Linked DNA regions of Anolis sagrei. The protein of the gene in region 1 interacts with the protein of each later gene in a pairwise test. Links are inferred from orthologs where the notes say so. Each region holds a gene or a part of one and is shown in the gene's direction. Other genes may lie near its edges.

What was found.
Region 2: the proteins of MYOD1 (region 1) and ID1 interact in a two-hybrid assay, tested with the Homo sapiens proteins (5 studies listed by BioGRID). The link is inferred for Anolis sagrei from reciprocal best matches to the Homo sapiens genes MYOD1 and ID1.
Region 3: the proteins of MYOD1 (region 1) and ID2 interact in a two-hybrid assay, tested with the Homo sapiens proteins (2 studies listed by BioGRID). The link is inferred for Anolis sagrei from reciprocal best matches to the Homo sapiens genes MYOD1 and ID2.

What each region holds. Positions count from the first base shown.
Region 1 is NC_090021.1:247,607,220-247,614,533, reverse strand, and holds the start of MYOD1 (myoblast determination protein 1), read left to right. Parts: upstream 1-4,313; 5' UTR 4,314-4,475; coding exon 4,476-5,102; intron 5,103-7,314. UniProt on the Homo sapiens protein: Acts as a transcriptional activator that promotes transcription of muscle-specific target genes and plays a role in muscle differentiation. Together with MYF5 and MYOG, co-occupies muscle-specific gene promoter core region during myogenesis.
Region 2 is NC_090024.1:241,995,636-242,002,853, forward strand, and holds the start of ID1 (DNA-binding protein inhibitor ID-1), read left to right. Parts: upstream 1-4,179; 5' UTR 4,180-4,265; coding exon 4,266-4,598; intron 4,599-7,218. UniProt on the Homo sapiens protein: Transcriptional regulator (lacking a basic DNA binding domain) which negatively regulates the basic helix-loop-helix (bHLH) transcription factors by forming heterodimers and inhibiting their DNA binding and transcriptional activity.
Region 3 is NC_090021.1:129,265,670-129,273,325, forward strand, and holds the start of ID2 (DNA-binding protein inhibitor ID-2), read left to right. Parts: upstream 1-4,603; 5' UTR 4,604-4,727; coding exon 4,728-5,081; intron 5,082-6,860; coding exon 6,861-6,917; 3' UTR 6,918-6,927; intron 6,928-7,656. UniProt on the Homo sapiens protein: Transcriptional regulator (lacking a basic DNA binding domain) which negatively regulates the basic helix-loop-helix (bHLH) transcription factors by forming heterodimers and inhibiting their DNA binding and transcriptional activity.

The sequences.
Region 1 (7,314 bases):
TTATAATTGTATTCTCAATTCGCTTCTGACACAATCTATATCTATATATATAATAAAAGTGAATGTTTGTATGTATGTATGTATGTATGCATGTATGTATGTGGAGGTATATGTGGCAGCTTTCTGATTGGCTGCCACTTTCACAGGCCACCCCCCATGACCCACTTTACGTCCTGGTGAGGTTTTGGGGGGAGGTGGACCACGGATTATGAAATCTGTAGTACTTTAAAACGCTTGGGCAACCACAGACCACTGCTCCTGACAGGACAAAAAATGATGGGACTTGCAGTACCTTCACTCACTTCCCAAGAGAGCTGCGACCTTTATCCAATGACTGATCAAGACCAAACTTGGCACACAGAGCCCCCATGACCCACTCTACATCCTGGTGCAGTTTGGAGGAGGATGGACCATGGAGGACGATGGGACTCCCAGTGCCTTCACTAACTTCCTGAGACCACTGCGAGACACATAAATAACGGATAAAGACCAACCTTGGCACACAACGCCTTTTTCAAATAAGCCGGGTCCCCAAGCTATTAATAAATAAATAAACCCTCATTTTGAGGAGAAAGGAAGGTGTCTGGAGAATTACTCTTTGGCAAGTCCTCCATATGATTCCAAGCTGTTTTTTCCCTCTTTGGCCACAAGGAACATAAAGCCCCCCGCCCCGCCTTTATATTTGGACATCCTTCCTGGGAGGCGACTTATACACTGGGCGGCTGAGGCCCCGAAGCGTGTCCCTCCGCGCCCACCCGTGGGGGATTCGTGAGCCTTCCTGTGCTTGCTCGCTTGTGAGATCCCGTGTCGCTCTGTCCCAAGGGGAGACTCCACTCCTCTCCCACCGAGGCGGAGGTCCAAGCGCCTCGCTATCTCTCATCACACTAGAGAATGAATACACTTTAAATCCGGTTTCTGCCTCCTGCAGAATTCTGAGGTTTATGGTTTAGTGAGGCTAATAAAGGCCCCCTCCTTAAACTACAAACCTCAGAATTCTGCAGGAGGCAGAAACCGGATTTAAAGTGGATTCATTCTCTAGTGTGATGAAGTACTCTTTCTGGACTCGCTTTCTTTTCAGAGCAGAACGAATGCAGTTGCAGGGTTGAGAGAGAAGAAACGAGAGATTTCAAACGACAACGCCTTGCTACTCTTTTTTAAAACAGCAGTTATCTATATTCCGAGGGGACAAGCCAGGATTTTGACTGGGGGGGGGGGGCTGAGTCTGAGTGAAAGAGGGTCTACCCTAGCAAACCTTTTGTATTGTTACCCCAATACCCCCATGCTTATGAGATATATTGAGCATGGTGATCAGATCATGATAGGAATAAACATAACAGTTTAAATAATGTACCAGGAAGGCCTTTTTGCAGACCACCACGAGAATTTCGGGGGGGGGGGGGGCTGCGACGGGATGTCGATCATTCGCATCGGATCCAATGGAAAACCAGAACCAAACAAATCCAGTTGAAATGTATGTGAGGGGGGGTTATATTATAATGCTTTGTGCGCCCAGCCTTTCGATTTCAAGTCTCCTTTCTCCTACATTCAAAACAAAAGTGCTGCATAGAGGAAAAACACCTGTCCTTGAACTCTTCCCTGTCTCCTTTCCACCACTTTTTCTTTTGCCCTTCTTCTTCATTGACTACTTCATCACACTAAAGCATGGACCCACTTTAAATCCGGGTTCTGCTTCCCGCAGAGTTCTAGAGTTCGTAGTCTAGGGAGGAACCTTTAACAGCCTCACTAAACTACAAACCCCAGAATTCTGCAGGAGGCAGAACCCGGATTTAAAGCGGATCTATGCTCCAGTGTGATGAGGAATCGAGGCCCCTTTCACGCATCTGAACAAAACTCCACATTATTTGGCAGTGTGGACTCGGATATTTGTTTATTTACAACATTTATATGCCGCCCTTCTCACCCGGAAGGGGACTCAGAGCAGCTTACAAGTAAAATGTAAGCACAATATATTATATTATTACTATAGCACAATATTAATATGATTAATATTATTGCTATAATACTGTACTGTTATATTAGTAATATCACATGTAATATAAAATATGTAATTATAATACCATATCCTAAGGCTCTTCCACACAGCCCTATATCCCAGAATATCAAGGCAGAAAATCCCACAATATCTGCTTTGAACTAGGTTATCTGAGTCCACACTCGGATATTGTAGGATTTTCTGCTTTGATATTCCGGGATATAGGGCTGTGTGGAAGGACCCCCAATTCAAAGTAGATTCTGTGAGATTTTCTGCCTTGCTATTCTGGGTTTTATGTCTGTGTGGAAGGGCCCTGAAGTAGAAAGCAAGCTTTAAAAACGATTTCAATGTGGTTTGAGGGTAAAACAGACTGTTATAAAATATCTTTACGATGTGATGAAGACAATAAACAACGAAACAAACTGCAAAATATGTTTTTTATTTTCATTTCATTTTTATTAAAAATGCCACTTAAATCTAAAAGGAATAACAATAGCAAGAAATCACACGGAGGTGAAACTGAATCAAATAAGTCGCTTCCAAAGCGCGGGGGGGGGGGGGCAACGATTAGGTGGGCAGAGAGTGCCCTCAAAACAGGGCCAGAAGGCGCGAGAGGTAAACAACATCACAGAAGTTAGAATTCAGGACACCGTTTCAAGATCAGTCGGATTTTTCACTTCGATGTTTTTTTCACACACACACACACACACACATATAGTAGACTCTCCGTTAACCGACATCCATGGGGATGGGTAGATGCTGGATAAATGTCGTTTCTGGTTGCTTGGGAATTATTATAAATTATTATTATTATTATTATTATTATTATTGTAAAAAGTCCCAATACTATACCCATAAACTCTTTATTCACTCGCTATTAATATGAAGACACTGGCCCTCCACCCAGCTGAATAAAATCCCACATTATCTGCTTTAAACTGGGATATATGACAGTGTGGACTCAGAGAACCCAGTTCACAGCCGATATTGTGGGATTTTCTGCCTTAATGTTCCGGGTTATATGGCCGTGTGGAAGGGCCGAGAGTCATTCAGAGCAATGTAAGACAAACTTCAGCTTACATTTCCGCTTAAAAACTGATTTATTTGTAATCTTCACTGAAGTATTATTTCTTTATTAGGATAATGAAGTTTATCTACACCCAGCGTTTTCTCTTCACAAGGAGACCTCGGGCCCTTCCACACAGCCCTATAACCCAGAATATCAAGGCAGAAAACCCCACAATATCTGCTTTGAACTGGCCTATCTCAGTCCATACTGCCATATATTCCAGTTCAAAGCAGATATTGTGGGATTTTCTGCCTTGATATTCTAGGTTATAGGGCTGTGTGGAAAGAGTCACCAAGCGGCTTACACCAAAAGCATGATTGTTTGTTTGTTTAGGACATAAATAAAGGAGACTCAGAGCAGTTTACAAGATACACACACACACAATATATTATATTATTAGCATAGTACAATATCAGTATTAAATATTACTATATTGTACCAAACCATTATATTGTAATATTATTAGTAATATGACATGCCATATAAATATATAATTATAATATCTTAATATTATGTAGTATGTTGCAAGTCGGAACATTTAGTATAACGCCAAGTTTCTTAAACCTTGTGTTTTTTTTAAAATCCATCACAACACCGTTGAAAATCTACAAATATACAAACTTTAAAACGGAATTAAATAGCATTGGTACTTAAAAATTCAGTTAAAATCCATTCATAAAACAGATTCAAACTAAAAACCACAGCAGCCCAGCTGGTTGCTTGAGAGGCTGCACCAACACCCCCAACCAGTTTAGTGTCTAGAGCAGGCGGGGGCAAACCTGGGCCCTCCCGGTGTCTTGGACTTCAACTCCCATCATTCCTCACAGCCTCAGGCCCCTTCCCTTCCCCCCTCAGTCACTTAAACCGGGAGGGCCCAGGTTTGCCCTGCCTGGTATAGAATGCTTGCTTTTAGGCAGAAGGGTCCGTTAGCTGAAGAAGGGGAGAAAGGGATCAACTTGGAGGCGGCGACCCATAGAAAATAGCTGGAAAAGACGGTGCAGATTTGGGAGCAGCTGTCCAAGCGCCGCGCCGTGGCTTCCCTTCCCTGCGCAAAGAGGAGAAAGCGTGCTCCGAGGCGGAGAGAGAGAGGAAGGAAGGAAGGAAGGAAGGAAGGAAGGAAAGGGGCGCCCCCGCCGTCGAGGCTCCTCTGGGAGCGCTTTGGAGGGCGCGGCGTCCAATCGGGGCGGCCCTTCCTTGCGGGGTCCCTCCTTCCCTCCAAGGCCCACCCGCCCCCCGTCGGGGATAAATAGGAGCCGGCGTGGCGCTCGTGGACGGGCAGCTGTGAAAGGGAAGGAGGGAGGGAGGGAGACAGAAAGGGGCCACTGGCGTTGTCGCGAGGGGCTCCCTCCTTCCCTGGGCTTCCTTCCTCCTTCTTTCTTTCCTTTCCCCCTTCTCCCTCTCTCTTCCTCCCCGATGGAGGTGCTGGGCCCCATGGAGATGCCCGAGGGCTCGCTCTGCTCCTTTGCGGCGGCGGCGGCAGCGGCGGGCGAGGACTTCTACGACGACCCCTGCTTCAACACCTCGGACATGCACTTCTTCGAGGACCTGGACCCGCGGCTGGTGCACGTGGGCGGGCTGCTGAAGCCCGAGGAGCCCCACCACCACCACGCGGGGCAAGCGGCGGCGGCGGCGGCGGCGGCGGCGCACCACGGCGGGCCCGGCGAGGCGGACGAGCACATCCGGGCGCCCAGCGGGCACCACGCGGCCGGGCGCTGCCTGCTGTGGGCCTGCAAGGCCTGCAAGCGCAAGACCACCAACGCGGACCGGCGCAAGGCGGCCACCATGCGCGAGCGGCGGCGCCTCAGCAAGGTCAACGAGGCCTTCGAGACGCTCAAGCGGTGCACCTCCAGCAACCCCAACCAGCGCCTGCCCAAGGTGGAGATCCTCCGCAACGCCATCCGATACATCGAGAGCCTCCAGGCGCTGCTCCGGGAGCAGGAGGACGGCAGCGGCGGAGGGGGCGCCTACTACCCGGCCCTGGAGCACTACAGCGGGGACTCCGACGCCTCCAGCCCCCGGTCCAACTGCTCCGACGGCATGGTGAGACCCAGCGCCCTCGCTTGTGGACCCAGCCCTTGAGCACACAACCAGAGAGGACTCTTCACGTTGGAGGGGGGCTAGGTCTACATTGGACACGGGCAAACTTTAGCCCTTGTTTTGGACTTCAAATCCCACAATTCCTAAGAACCGCAGGCCCTTTCCTTTTCCTCCTCAGCCGCTTAAGCCCATGCCTTCTCTATACCCTAGACAGGCCCTTCCTTTCTTTGCTTTCCACTTAAGCGGCTGAGGGGGAAAAAGAAGGGGGCCTACAGCTGGTAGAGATGGTGGGAGTTGAAGTCCAAAACACCTGGAGGGCTCAGGTTGCCCATGCCTCCTCTAAACTGTAGACAGGCCCCTTCCTTTCTTTCCTTTCCACTTAAGCGACTGGGGTGGGAAAGGAAGGGGCCTGCGGCTGTTAGGGGTGATGGGAGTTAAAGTCCAAAACATCTGGAGGACCCAGGTTTGCCCTTGGCTGCTCTAAACAGTAGACAGGCCCCTTCCTTTCTTTCCTTTCCATTTAAGCGACTGAGGGGGGAAAGGAAAGGACCCAAGACTGTTAGGAATTGTGTGAGTTGAAGTCCAAAACACCTGGAGTGATGGCCGAAGTTTGTCCAAATAGTGGTTGTCAGCTGAGGCATGCCCTCCATCCTCTGTTCTACAGTAGTCAAGAGGACACACTTGCCATCAGGCAATTTGACGCCCTGGCCAGTCTGTCACTTCCAACCCCCTCCCATTCAGAACATCCCTGACAGAAGGCCACTCAGCCTCTGCTTCAAAACCTCCACAGAAAGAGACCCCACTATGCTCCAAGGCAGCATATTCCATTGGCCAATAGCAAAGTTTAGCTGGAATCTCTTTCCCTGCCATTTGAATCTATTGCTCCCAATCCTAGTCTCCAGAGCGGCAAAAATTAAGCCTGCTGCCTCTTCAATGTGACATCCTTTCAGAGATTTAAACATGGAGATCATGTTCCTTCTGGGCCTTCTTTTCTCCAAACTAAACCCCAGCTCCCTAAATCAGCAGGGTCGCTCTCCCCTTGCCTGCCTCCATAATAATAATAATAATAATAATAATAATAATATAATAATACAACATAATAACTTTCTTTGTATCCCACCCCATCTCCCCTCTGGAGACTTTGGATAGCTTACAACAAAAATGGCAGCCATTCGAGGTCAAAAGTACATCTATATAAATAAAAATGTAATGTTCGTTTGTGGGATTAACATAACTCAAAAACCACTGGATGAATTGACACCAAATTTGGACACAATACACATATTAGGCCAATGAGTGAACATCACTCATAAAAACTCTGAAAAACACAGCAGAAGAGACTTAAAAGCCAAAAAATAAAAAATACATTACAACGCATGTGCAAAACCACACATATATACACATATACACAAATATATATACACACACAAAGCACATATATGCAGCCTGTGCCACAGCAACACATGGCAGGGGACAGCTAGTAATAAATAAAACATATAATAAATATTATTAATTTCTTATCCCTGGTAGGACAAGATTTCTTTCTCTTTCTTTCTCCCTAATGTCTGCTAACCAGAGAGATTTTGGTTAGCATATGAGAGTGCATCTGCACTGTAGAATTAATATTGTTTCACACTGCTTGAACTGCCATGCCTCAGTTCTAAGGAATAGTAGGAGTTGTAGTTTGGTGATACATGAGCCCAAACTGACAAAGAAGGGTAAAGAGCTTGTTAAACTACAACTTCCATGACTCCATAGCATTTATGTCAAACTGTTACTTCTATAGTGCAAATGTAGCCTATACGTGTTGGATTACAATTGGGATGTGTGGGTTCTGTCCCCATTTCAAGCTCAGTAGGTGACCTTGGGCCCAGCTTCCTGAGGCTGTGAAGGTTTAAAAAAGGGAGGAGTCACCACATGCCCTGTTAGAGCATTTTCAAGAAAATGCTCCGTAGAAAACTAAGTAACAAATAGGACAGTTCCACTATTTGGTGGGTTCTTTAAACTCAAGCCTTGTTTTGCAGAAGGCTTCTGTGACCTTGGGTCCTACTCTGGGAGAAAGGTAGCATATAAAATACATGAATAAGCCTTTTCTTCTGTTCCTCAGGCCCAAGGAGGCCCAGAATTAATTTGTAGTGTCAGGCCACCGGGCATGCAAAGTTGCAAAACATGGCAGCCATGTAGGGTGAGTGCCCATCTCTTGCAACAGCTCCTG
Region 2 (7,218 bases), on another chromosome or scaffold:
TGGCCAGTGTCTAATAATAATAATAATAATAATAATAATAATAATAATATATTAGGATATTATTATTATTTATTTATTTATTTATTTATTTCTTGCATTTATTGACCGCCCCTCTCAGCCCGAGGGCGACTCGGGGCGGTGAACAACAACAAGGAAGACAGTGTACAGTGAGCCGTAACGATACAAACCAGACAATACAACATAACATATACTTATACTAAAAATCCGCTTCGTCAGGTCCTGGGGTCATAGCCAAAATTCGTAGTCCTAGTTCATTCCATTGTCATTCAATACACTCAGTTGAAGGCCTGCTCGAAGAGCCATGTTTTTAGGCCCCTACGAAAGGCCATCAAGGAGGGCGCCTGTCTAACTTCAGCAGGGAGGGTGTTCCACAGCCGGGGGGCCACCACCGAGAAGGCCCGCTCCCTCGTCCCCGCCAGACGTGCCTGTGAGGCAGGCGGGACCGAGAGAAGGGCCTCCCCGGATGATCTCAAGGCCCTCGTGGGCTCGTAGGCCGAGATGCGGTCTGCAAGGTATTTTGGGCCGGAACCGTTTAGGGCTTTGTAGGATAACACCAGCACCTTAAATTGGGCCCGGTAGCAGATCGGCAGCCAGTGGAGCTGGGACAGCAGGGGCGTTGTATGCTCTCTGCGTCCAGCTCCCGTTAGCAACATGGCTGCCGCGCGCTGGACTAGCTGGAGCTTCCGGACCGTCTTCAAGGGCAGCCCCACGTAGAGAGCGTTGCAGTAGTCGAGGCGGGATGTGACCAAAGCGTGTACCATTCAGACTAATATATAGCCAGTGTATAATAATAATAATACTAATATATGAGATTATTATTATTATTATATTCAGACTATTACATGGCACTGAATAATAATAATAATAATGTATTGTTATTATTATTATATACAGACTATTATATGGTCAGTGTATAATAATAATATATGAGCATATAATTATTTTCAGACTATTATATGATCAGTGTATAATTATAATAGTATATGAATATATTATTATTATATTCAAACTATTTCTGGTGACTCAGTGTATAATAATACATTATTATTATATTCAGAGTACTACATGGCAATGTATAATAATAATAATAATAAATTAGTATATTATGATTATAATTATATTCAGACTATTATACGGCCAGTGTATAATAATAATAATAATAATAGTATATTAGTATATTATGTTGATTATTATTATATTCAGGCCACTACATGGCATATTACTATATTATTATATTACTATTATATGGTCAGTGTACAATAACAATACTATATTTTGTGAGAATAGTGATGTGTCAATGTGACTGTATGGAGAGGAGAGAGTGCTGGCTTTTTGCTGAATGCGATGGAATGCTGGGAGCCGCTCTTCCCGCTCCCGGCCTCCCTCCCCCGCCCTCTGCGGTTTCCATGGTGACCGGCCGCCAGGCGCCAGGCTGACAGCGCTCCGGGTTTTTATGAATGGGGTGACGTCACGGGCCTTGGCGCCGCGCGGTCTGAGCCGCTGGCTCTGCGGAGGGAGGGAGGGCGCCGCGGTGGGAACAGCCAGCCCGGGCCAAGCTCCAGGCTTTTGCAAAGAAAGAAAGAAAGAAAGGCAGGGAAAAAGGAAGAATGCAAAGAGATTTTAATTTATTTTGTTTTGGGAAAGGCGGGGGGGGGGGGGGGAGGTCTGGGGGCTGGGAAGACAGAGCCCTTGAAATGTGCAATGTGCTGTGGTTTCAGAGATTGCATCCACACTGTGGAATTAATGCAATTCGGCCCCCACTTCACCCCCCATGGCTGCGTGCAATGGAATCCTGGGAAGTGGATAGTTTTGCAAGTTTTAGTGGAGAGAAAATGCGGGGTATAAACAAATAATAATAATAATAATAATAATAATAATAATAATGTTTTAATATAATAATATGTATAATATAATAATAATAAAATGTATATTATAATTTATATTATATTATAAATTTAATATTTATTTTATATTATTTATTTTATAATATAATGTTTTTAATATAATATATATATTATAATTTATATTATATTGTAAATTTAATATTTATTTTATATTTGTTTTATAATATAATGTATAATACAATATACATTATTATATAAATTATATTATTATATTATACATATATTTAAAAATTATGAAATGTGCAAACAATATAATGTTTTAATATAATAATATGTATAATATAATAATAATAAAATATATATTATATTATAAATTAATTCTTTTATATTATTTGTTTTATAATATAATTTATAATATAATATAAATTATATTATTATATTATACATATATTTAAAATTATGAAATGTGCAAACAATAATATAATGGTTTTAATATAATAATATGTATAATATAATAATAAAAAATATCTATTATAATTTATATTATAAATTTAATATTTATTTTATATTATTTCTTTTATAATATAATGTATAATACAATATAAATTATATTATAAATTGTATTATTATATTATAAATATATTTAAAAATTATGAAATGTGCAAACAATAATATAATGTTTTAATATAATAATATGTATAATATAATATATATATAATTTATATTATATTTTAAATTTAATATTTATTTTACATTATTTATTTTATAATATAATGTATAATACAATATAAATTACTATATAAAATTATATTAATATATTATACATATATTTAAAAATTATGAAATGTGCAAACAATAATATGTTTTTAATATAATGATATGTATAATATAATAATAATAAAATATCTATTATAATTTATATTATATTATAAATTTAATATTTTATATTATTTATTTTATAATATAATGTATAATATAATATACATTATTGTATAAATTATATTATTATATTATACATATATTTAAAACTTATGAAATGTGCAATGTACAATCATAAAATGTATATTATAATTTATATTATATTACAAATGTATTATAAATTTTATATTTATTTTACATCATTTATTTTATAATAATATAATGTATAATATAATATAAATTATAACATACATTATATTATTATATTATACATATTATATTATAAAAATTATGAAATGTGCGATATCCAATAATATAATGTATATTATAATTTATATTATATTACAAATTTATTATAAATTGTATATTTATATTATATTATTTATTTTATGATATAAATTATAATATACATTATATACACAGTAATAATAATGTGCATTTGAATATATATCTAATGCAGTTCATTAGCTATTAATAACAGTGTTAATAGTATAATAATTATAATATAATTATAATATAATATAATAATGATATAGAAAATAATATTAAAAATAAAAAATAATATAAAAATAAAAATATTTTAATTATAAATGCATTTAATTGGATAACTAGCCATTAATAACAGTGTTAATAGTATAATAATTATAATATAATAATGATATAGAAAATAATATTAAAATAAATATAATTAATATAATATAATAATGATATAGAAAATAATATTAAAATAAATATAATTAATATAATATAATAATGATATAGAAAATAATATTAAAAATAAATATTAAAATAATATTAAAAATAAAAATAATATTTTTAATTGTAAATGCATTTAATTGGAAAACTTCTCAGACAAGAAGGGGAGAAAGATAAAAGTTTGGATCCATTTTTGCTTCCACTGTGTGAACCAGGTGTAGAAAAGCAACTTGCAAAACATCAAAATACTATAAAATCAAAAAGGAGGTGATAAAAGCTATTTGTTCCTTGTGTTTGTGAACTATTCCTGGGAATGGAAGGGGAGGAGGAGGAGGGAAGAAGGAGGAGAAAGTGTCCAAGTTGTCATTAAAATCTATTTTATTTCCCCCCCCCCCAAAAAAAGTGCTTGTTGTCACATTCCTTTCATCCTCTTTCCTTTCTTTTTTTTTTGTCTTAGATAAAATGCCCCCGAGCCTTCTCCACCTGCAGCTTTACCAAAAAAAAAAAAAAAAAAAGAGTGAGAAAGGGGGAAAAAAAAAAACCAAATTGTTTCCCATTTGGAAAAAAAAGAAGCAAAGAATGTACACAAAGTAGGGGCAAAGTAGCTGAGGAAGCCACGCCCACTTCCCTGAAAGCGGCCTCCCGATTGGCTAAGGCGCGCCACCCATGGAACGTTGGCGCACTATAAACACAGCCGCTCGCTCTGCCGCTCTGGAGTTTTCCCGGCTGCTTCCAACGAGTTGTTGTTTTTTTGTGCTCAGCTTTGCATACCGGTTTTATCCCGCGATGAAAGTGGCCAGTGCAGCTGCCGTTGTGTCTCCGGGCCCGAGCTGCGCCCTCAAAGGGGTCCGGCTGGGCTCTGGCGAAGCGGCGCCCAACCATAACAGCAACGCCCGGTGCCTTTCCGAGCAAGCCGCCGCCGCCGCCTCGCTCCTGATGGACATGAAGGGCTGCTACTCCCGCCTGGCCGCCCTCGTGCCCACTTTGCCCCGGCACCGGCGCGTCTCCAAGGTGGAGATCCTCCAGCACGTCATCGACTACATCTGGGACCTCCAGCTCGAGCTCCAGGACGACCCCGCCACCCCAGGCGGAGAGCCCGCAGGAGGGACTTTGCCCGAGGTGAGCGCCCAGTCGCACTGCAGAGTTAGCGCGGGTTAGCACCGCTTCCCACTGCCATGGCTCAGGGCTATGGAACCCCCTCGCACTTGGAGGGAGTCCTGTACTTACCTAAAGCTTCCTGCCTACTGACTTTATCCCCCTATTGGATCTACCTGTATAATAATAATAATATAATTATTATTATTATTATTAAGTGTAGCCCTATATTTACCTAAAGTTGCCAACTTACTGACTTTATCCCCCTATTGGATCTACCTGTATAATAATAATAAGTGTAGCCATATACTTACCTAAAGCTTCCTACCTACTGACTTTATCCCCCTATTGGATCTACCTGTATTATATTATTATTATTATTATTATTATTATTATTATTATTTATTAAGTGTAGCCCTATATTTACCTAAAGTTACCAACTTTCTGACTTTATCCCCCTATTGGATCTACCTGTATAATAATAAGTGTAGCCTTATACTTACCTAAAGCTACCTACCTACTGACTATACCCCCCTATTGGATCTACATGTATATTATTATTACTAGTATTATGTGTAGCCCTATATTTACCTAAATTTACCAACTTACTGACTTTATCCCCCTATTGGATCTACCTAGAATCATAGAATCAAAGAGTTGGAAGAGACCTCATGGGCCATCCAGTCCAACCCCCTGCCAAAAAGCAGGAATATTGCATTCAAATCACCCCTGACAAATGGCCATCCAGCCTCTGCTTAAAAGCCTCCAAAGAAGGAGCCTCCACCACACTTATTACCTGTAATAAGTGTAGTCATATACTTACCTAAAGCTACCAACTTACTGACTTTATCCCCCTATTGGATCAACCTGTATATTATTATTATTATTATTATTATTATTATTATTTAAGTGTAGCCCTATATTTACCTAAAGTTACCAACTTTCTGACTTTATCCCCCTATTGGATCTACCTGTATAATAATTAAGTGTAGCCCTATACTTACCTACAGCTACCTACCTACTGACTTTATCCCCCTATTGGATCTACTTGTATTATTATTATTATTATTATTATTATTATTATTATTATTATTATTTATTTATTTATTAAGTGTAGTCCTATACTTCACTAAAGTTACCAACTTACTGGCTTTATCCCCCTATTGGATCTACCTGTATAATAATAAGTGTAGCCATATACTTACCTAAAGGTACCTACCTACTGACTTTATCGCCCTATCGGTTCTAACTATATTATTATTATTATTATTATTATTATTATTATTATTATTTATTAAGTGTAGCCCTATACTTACCTAAAGCCCCTATTGAATCTACCTGTATTATTATTATTATTATTATTATTATTATTATTATTATTAAGTGTAGTCCTATACTTATCTAAAGCTACCTACCTACTGACTTTACCCCCCTATTGGATCTACCTGTATTCTTATTATATTATTATTATTATTATTATTATTATTAAGTGTAGCCCTATATTTACCTAAAGCTACCAACTTACTGACTTTATCACCCTATTGGATCTACCTGTATAATAATAATAATAATAATAATAATAATAATAATAATAATAATAATAATTAAAGTGTAGCCCTATACTTACCTAAATGGATCTACCTATTAATAATAATAATAATAATTATTATTATTAATAATAATAAATATTATTATTAAGTGTAGCCCTATATTTACTTAAAGCTACCAACTTACTGACTTTATCACCCTTTTGGATCTACCTGTATTATTATTATTATTATTATTATTAAGTGTAGCCCTATACTTACCTAAATGGATCTACCTTATTATTATTATTATTATTATTATTATTATTATTATTATTATTAAGTGTAGCCCTATACTCTCCTAAAGCTACCAACTTACTGACTTTATCACCCTTTTGGATGTATCTGTATTATTATTAGGTGTAGACCTTATACTTACCTAAACATACCTGCTTACTGACTATCCTCTCTTGCGGGCATGGGGAAACTTCAGCCCTCCAGGTGTTTTGGACTTCCAACTCCCGTTGAAGTCCAAAACACCTGGAAGGCCATATACCTGCTCTATTGGATCTACACTATATATATATATATAGAGAGAGAGAGAGTGTGTATATATGGTATAGTCCTGTACTTGCTTGAAGCTATCTACTTATTGACTTTACCTATTCCCCTATTGCATATAGCTATTATTATTATTATTATTATTATTATTATTATTATTAATAGCTTTAGACCTATACTTACCTAAGCTTACCTACTTACTGACGTTATATATCCTCTATTGGATCTACCTGTATATTAATAATAATAATAATAATAGGTGTAGTCCTAGACATACCAAATTACTGACTTTATCCTCAATTGGATCTACCTATTATTATTATATATTATTTATTGTTATTGTAATCCTATACTTAACCTATTCCTACCAACTACTGACTTTATCCCCATTTGAATCGTATCAATTATAATATTATATTATTAATTAATTATTATTGCTGTCTTATCTAAATCTACCTATTTACTATCTCCCCTATTGGATCTACCTATATTATTATTATATTATATTATATTATATTATTTTTATTAATATTATTAGGTGTAGTCCTATTCTTAAA
Region 3 (7,656 bases), about 120 Mb from region 1:
GGAAAGCTCAAAAATTGGAAAAAATGATAAGAAAGAAACCCTAATATTAACTGATGGTAGGTTTACATTTAGTGAACTTTCAAGTCATAAGTAGACTGATCCAAATGGGGCGGCAATAATGATTTGTTCGGTCTGTTGGCACATCTCTTACAAGAATATAATAGTGGTGAAAGGTAGACTTAAATTTTACGTTTGAAATGTTTCTGGCAGCACTGACTCTGATGATCATTATCTTCTGCAGAGCTGCACGGAAACAAACACAGCAGGCATTCATATTTGTCACCAAGATTTTCTGTGATGAATTCAATTGCCATATATGCACTGAAAGGGAAGAAGAGAACAGGAACCTTGCTCAGCCAGTGTAGCCATATGGTGAGTTCCGTATTTGCATTATCTTAAAGCCCTGTGCAACTTGCCCCAGGCTATCTGACAGACTGTGGGTGCATGTACATTGTGGAATTAATGCAGTTTGATACCACTTTAACTACCTTGGCTCAATGCGATGGAATTCTGGAAGTTTGGTGAGGCACCATCACTTTTTTGGCAGAGAAGGCTAAAGACCTTGTCGAATTCCAATTCCCAGGATTCCATAGCCTTGGATTGTGGCAGTTAAAGTGGTGACAAACTGTGTTAATTCTACAGTGTAGCTGCAACCTGAGGACCCTTTCACACAGCTGAATAAAATCCCACATTTTCTGCTTTGAACTGGAATATATGGCAGTGTGGACTCAGATAACCCAGTTCAAAGCAGATATTTTGTGATTTTCTGCCTTGATATTCTGGGTTATATGGCTGTGTGGAAGGGCCTAGGAAAGACCATGTAGGTCACATGTATACTGTGCAAATGTTGCAGTTTGACATCACTTTAGCTGCCATTGCTCAATGCTGTGGAATCCTGGGATTTGTAGTTTGGTGAGGCTGTGTGGAAGGGCCCTAAATCTCCCAATTTGAGTCCACTCAGACCCTAAGATCTACAAGAGAGACTGTCCTCTCCATTCCACCAGTACAAAGGTCATCATCCCTCTTCTAATTAACAGTAATGTTTGCTTAGCCCGTTTGTCAAACCAAACAACTGTACTCTCTGGAATACTTAAGTTCAGCCCTCAAGCAATACACCTCCAGTAAAGACGAAAGAGCTCGGCTTGGTCTTGCCCAATCAACACATGTTGTTGACAGAACGACTTCTTTCCTTACTGTCCTACTGTTGTTGTTTTCCATCAAGTTGACTTTGACCCAATGAGTGAGAGACCTCCAATCATCAACTACCCTGCAAATGAGCCTACTATCCATAAATTCCCATTGTTATGTGCCTTCCATTTGTTTCTCACAGGGCAAGATTTCTTCAGAAGAGGTTTGTCCTTGCCTTCCTCTGAGACTGAGAGAGTGCACCTTGCCCAAGGCCACCCAATGAGTTTCCACGGCTGAGGAGATTCGGATCCTCATCTACAGAGTTGAGGAGATTCAGATCCTCATCTACTCCCTGGCTCCCTATTAACTGAAGTGACTCCAAAGCTCTCTCCTACTGGAATTCAACCATCCATGCCTTGTTGAGTTGGCCATTTTATATAAGGGACCCCATTTTACTCTGCCATTGAACAAAACAAGACTCCAGTATGGATTTTGGTATCCACGGGGGGACCAAACTGTAACTAGGCAGCTTTCTAGGACCTTTGTAGATACTAGATAGCATTCATGCTAGTCTGTTCTTCTGGTTTTGCCTGTTTATATTGAGAGCTTCACAAAACCTATAATTTTTTTAAGGAACCAAACTTCAGCGAATACCAAGGGCCGGCTGTCCCACAGTTGCCGACCAGCCGGCTTCAGTAAAAGCAAATCTTTGGGCCAATCTGTGCGGGAACAAAGTCGCCTCCCCTATTCTTTGCTTGATTTAACAATGATTCTTCTGTTTCTCCCTTTTCCTTTTGATAGCAGCCTTTCAGTCTTCTCATGCCATGTGATTCATCATTAGGTAGGAAGGAAAGATATTTTTCCCCTTCTAAAAAAGAGTAACACAGGAATGGCATGGAAAAAGGTTTAGACCCCTTCTACACTGCCATATAATCCAGATTATCAAAGCAGATGATCCACATTATCTGCATTGAACTGGATTATCTGAGTCTACACTGCCATACAATCCAATTCAAAGCAGATAATCTGGATTTTATATGCCAGTGTAGAAGGGACCTTAAAATGAGGATGCAGTTCATTGAGGATGCAGTTCATTGCAGAATTGATGCAGTCTGATACCATGTTAATTGTCATTACTCAATGCTATGAAAATCTGGGAGTTGTAGCTTTACAAGGTCTTTATCTTTCTTAGACAAGGAGTGCCAGGCTGCATCCGAACTGTAGAATGTATTGCAGTTTGGCGCGCCTTGCACTACAATGGCTCCAGGCTATAGATTCCCGAGAGTTGTAGTTTTCCAAGCTATTTATCCTTCTCTGCCTCATTAAACTGCAACTCTCCCTTGGCTCTCCCCGCATAGAGCCATGGTGGTTCAAACGGTGTGAAAGCATCTTAATGTTACAGTGTATAAATTGGGCATGGGCAAACTTGGGCCTTCCAGGTGTTTTGGACTCCCAACTCAAGTTTGACACTACTTTAATTGCCATGGCTCAATGCTATGGAATCCTGGTAGTTGTAGCTTTACAAGGTCTTTATCTTTCTTGGTTGAGGAATGCCAGGCTGCATCCGCACTGTGGAATGTATTGCAGTTTGGCACCCCTTTAACTACAATGGCTCTAGGTATGGAATCATGAGAGTTGTAGTTTTCCAAGCTATTTAGCCTCATTAAACTGCAACTCCATAGCACTGAGCTATGGCGGTTCAAGTGATGCCAAAACACCTTAATGTTAGTGTACATCAGGCATGGCACAGTGGGTTAAACCGCTGAGCTACTGAACTTGTTGACCGAAATGTCGCAGATTCGAATCCAGGGAGTGGCAATGGAATCGTAAGAGCTGTAGTTTTCCAAGCTATTTAGCCTCATTAAACTGCAACTCTATAGCATTGAGCTATGACGGTTCAAGTGATGCCAAACCACATTAGTGTTAGTGTACATCAGGCATGGTGCAGTGGGTTAAACCGCTGAGCTGCTGAACTTGTTGACCAAAAGGTCGCAGATTCGAGCCCAGGGAGCAGTGTGAGCTCCTGCTGTCAGCCCCAGCTTCTGCCAGCTTAGTTTGAAAACATGTGAATGTGAGTAGATCAACAGGTACTGCTTCTGTAGGAAGGTAATGTCGTTCCATGCAGTCATGCCAGCTACATTACCTTGGAGGTGTCTACAGGCAACGCCGGCTCTTCGGCTTAGAAACAGAGATGAGGACCAACCCGCAGAGTCGGACATAACTAGACTTAATGTCAAGGGGAAACCTTTGTCTTTTTATAGTCTCATATATTACAGTTCAAACTACATTATATGGTGGTTTAGAACATCAATTTTAACCTTGGAGATGTCTACGGATGTCTCTTTGGCTTAGAAACAGAGATGAGGACCAACCTGTAGAGTCGGACACGACTGGACTTAATGTCAGGGGAAACTCTTTACATGAGGCATGGGCAAACTTGGGCTCTCCAGGTGTTTTGGTCTCCAACTCCCACAATTCCTAACAGCCTATCGGCTGTTAGGAATTGTGGGAGTTGGAGTCCAAAACACCTGGAGGGCCCAAGTTTGCCAGTTGTTAGGAATTGTGGGAGTTGGGAGTCCAAAACACCTGGAGGGCCCAGGTTTGCCAGCTGTTAGGAATTGTGGGAGTTGGAGTCCAAAACACCCGGAGGGCCCAAGTTTGCCGGCTGTTAGGAATTGTGGGAGTTGGAGTCCAAAACACCCGGAGGGCCCAAGTTTGCCGGCTGTTAGGAATTGTGGGAGTTGGAGTCCAAAACACCCAGAGGGCCCATGTTTGCCGGCTGTTAGGAATTGTGGGAGTTGGAGTCCAAAACACCTGGAGGGCCCATGTTTGCCGGTTGTTAGGAATTGTGGGAGTTGGAGTCCAAAACACCCGGAGGGCCCAAGTTTGCCAGCTGTTAGGAATTGTGGGAGTTGGAGTCCAAAACACCTGGAGGGCCCATGTTTGCCGGCTGTTAGGAATTGTGGGAGTTGGAGTCCAAAACACCTGAAGAGCCCAAGTTTGCCAGCTGTTAGGAATTGTGGGAGTTGGAGTCCAAAACACCTGGAGGGCCCAAGTTTGCCGGCTGTTAGGAATTGTGGGAGTTGGAGTCCAAAACACCTGGAGGGCCCAAGTTTGCCGGCTGTTAGGAATTGTGGGAGTTGGAATCCAAAACACCTGGAGGGCCCAAGTTTGCTGGCTGTTAGGAATTGTGGGAGTTGCAGTCCAGAACACCTGGAGGGCCCAAGTTTGCCCATGCCTGGTGTAGACGCATCCTGGTGTAGATGCTGCCTGTCCTGTCTATTTACTCCCCACAGCTGTCCTGGGGCCACGCCTCCCTGGGCTGCGATTGGCTGAGAACGCGGAAGCCCTGAGCCGCCTCTGGGGTTGCGTCGGGCCAATCAGGGGGGCTTCCGCGCGTGACGGACACACCGCGGGCCTCCAATAGGCTCCCCCCGTCGGCGGCGGGACGTGCCCTATAAAAGCCCGAGCGGGCGGCTGCGGCTTCATTCGGACTGTCGAGTAGGAAGAGAAGAGAGCTGCAGCAGCAGGAGCAGGAGGAAGGAGAGTCGCAAGCAGCCTTCTTTTCTTCCTCCCTCCCTCCTTCCCGTTTGGGCAGAATGAAAGCCTTTAGCCCTGTGCGGCCAGCGCGGAAGAATAGCAGTGGCAGCAGCAGCAGCGTCTCGGAGCCCAGCCTGGGCATCTCCCGCAGCAAGGCGCCGGCGGACGACCCCTTGAGCCTGCTCTACAACATGAACGACTGCTACTCCAAGCTGAAGGAGCTGGTGCCCAGCATCCCCCAGAACAAGAAGGTCAGCAAGATGGAAATCCTGCAGCACGTCATCGACTACATCCTGGACCTCCAGATCGCCCTGGACACGCACCCGGCCATCGTGGGCCTCCACCACCCCCGGCCCGCCTCCCGGACCCCGCTCACCGCCCTCAACACCGACATCAGCATCCTCTCCCTACAGGTGAGCAGGAAGGATGGGGATTGGTTTGGCGGGAGGAGGGGAGTATCTCCAGACCCCCCTCTCTCCTGGCCAAGGAGTGCTAGGCTGCATCTCGAGCTGCTGCCATGGCTCAATGCGAAGGGATCGTGGGAGTTGTAGTTTTATGAGGTCTGCCAAGCTGTAGCTCCCAGGCTCCCATCTGGGCAGTTCAGGCAGTTAAGCCTTGGGAATGGGGCGAGGCCACTTACTTGGTTGCCATGGTGTCTTGAGAGTTGTAGTACTCCTTAGACTTATAAAAGACTATAGCAAACTACAACTCCCCTGATCCCCATAGTATTGTACTATAACAGCCCAACTGCATTCATTCCACAGTATAGATAGAAGCACCCCATGTACATGCTTCTCCCATCTGTTCACATTGTAGTACTCCTTAGACTTGTAAAAGACCATATTGAACTACAACTCCCCTGATCCCCATAGCATTGTACTGTGACAGCCCAACTACATTCATTCCACAGTATAGATAGAAGCACCCCATGTACATCCTTCTCCCATCTGTTCACGTGTCCTTACAAAAGACCATGTCAAACTGCAACTCCCCTGATCTCCATAGCATTGAGTTGTAGCTGCCAAACTACATTCCTTCCCCAGTGTAGATAGAGGCACCCCATGTACATGCTTCTCCCATCTGTTCACATTGTAGTACTCCTTAGACTTATAAAGACATTGTCCAACTACAACTCCCATGATCCCCCATAGCATGAACCATGGCAGCCCAACTGCATTCGTTCCCCAGTGTAGATAGAAGCACCCCATGTACATGCTCCCGTCTGTTCACATTGTAGTACTTCTCAAACTACAACTCCCCTGATCCCTTGTTGTATTGAACCATGGCAGCCCAACTGCATTTGTTCCCCAGTATAGATAGAAGCACCCCATGTTTCTCCCGTCTGTTCAAATTGTAATACTCCTTAGACTTATAAAGAACCTTGTTAAACTATAACTCTCCTGATCTCCATTGCACTGAACTGTGGCAGTCCAACTGCATTCGTTCCCCAGTGTAGATAGGAGCACCCCATGTACATGCTTCTCCCATCTGTTCAAAGTGTAATACTCCTTAGACTTATAAAGACCTTATCAAACTACAGCTCCCCTGATCCCCATAACATAGAGCTGTGGCAGCCCAGCTGCATTCATGCCACAGTACAGATAGCACCCTATGTACATGCTTCTCCCATCTGTTCAAATTGTAGTACTCCTTAGATTTGTAAAGACCTTATCAAACTACAGCTCCCCTGATCCCCACAACAGGAAACTGTGACAGCTCAACTGTATTCATTCCACAGTATAAATAGAAGCCCCCCATGGACATGCTTCTCCCATCTGTTCACATTGTAGTACTCCTTAGACTTATAAAAAACCTTGTCAAACTACAACTCCCCTGATCCTCCAAAGCATTGAACTGTGCCAGCCAAACTTCATTTATTTGACAATGTAGAATAGAGGAACCCCATGCTCATGCTTTTCCCATCTGTTCAAATCGCATGGGTTCAGAATGTTGCCTTTTTCCAACCAGAAGGGAAACGTTGATTGCATTGCCTTGCAACCTCCTTGTCTATTACTTATGTATTTTGCCTTAAGTGCCAGCTATGGTACTTCTGTTTGGTCACGTCCAGGGCCTTGGTGGTAATCTGCCGTCCTCCCTCTTTCCCTCCCTGCCGAGGCTTCCTTCTTGGGCTCTTAAGCATCTTAACATCGCCTTGCCTTCTCTTCTCCCTCCCTCCCTTCTCCTCTTTGCAGGCAGCTGAATTCCCCTCAGAGTTAATGTCAAATGACAGCAAAGCACTTTGTGGCTAGAAGGAAATCGGTAAGTGCTCAAGTTTCTGTAAATTTTTGTTTTCACTAAGTTTTAAGTTTTGGGAGGTCCAAGTGTTGGAAAAACTTCAGTGCCAAATTAGATAATCCATGTGAGCTTCTGTCAGTCTAGGGCTGGATCTATCTACACTGTGCAGATCCAACCCTTTGGACCTGCATGATATGATCAATGTGAACCCATATAATGCTATTCAGTGCCATGTAGTTCATGATAATGGTCATTGGATCATCTAAATTGCATTATATGGTGTACATCAGCCTGCTATATACATAATGCACTAATGTACGGTTTGCTATGAATTGAGAAACTGGCTTCTTAAAGTATTGTTGAAGGCTTTCATGGCCAGAACCACTGGGTTGCTGTGAGTTTTCCAGGCTGTATAGCCATGTTCCAGAAGCATTCTCTCCTGAAGTCCTCACAATCTCCGAGGATGCCTGCCATAGATGTGGGCAAAATGTCAGGAGAGAATGCTTCTGGAATATGGCCATACAGCCTGGAAAACTCAGAGCAACCCAGACTTCTCAAAGTTTATCCCAGTGAAAGCATGTGATAGAGAGGATTGTTTCTGGTGTCAGCTAAAGAACTTGTAATCAGTTTATTGTTCCAAGTAGGTTCATATCTGTTGTCTGTGTGACCGTATAGGGAATTTGCTTTTCTGCCAGTTGCATGCCCCCAAAACATGTTTTTGTTTCATATTATTTGTATGTGAGAGAACAAGAG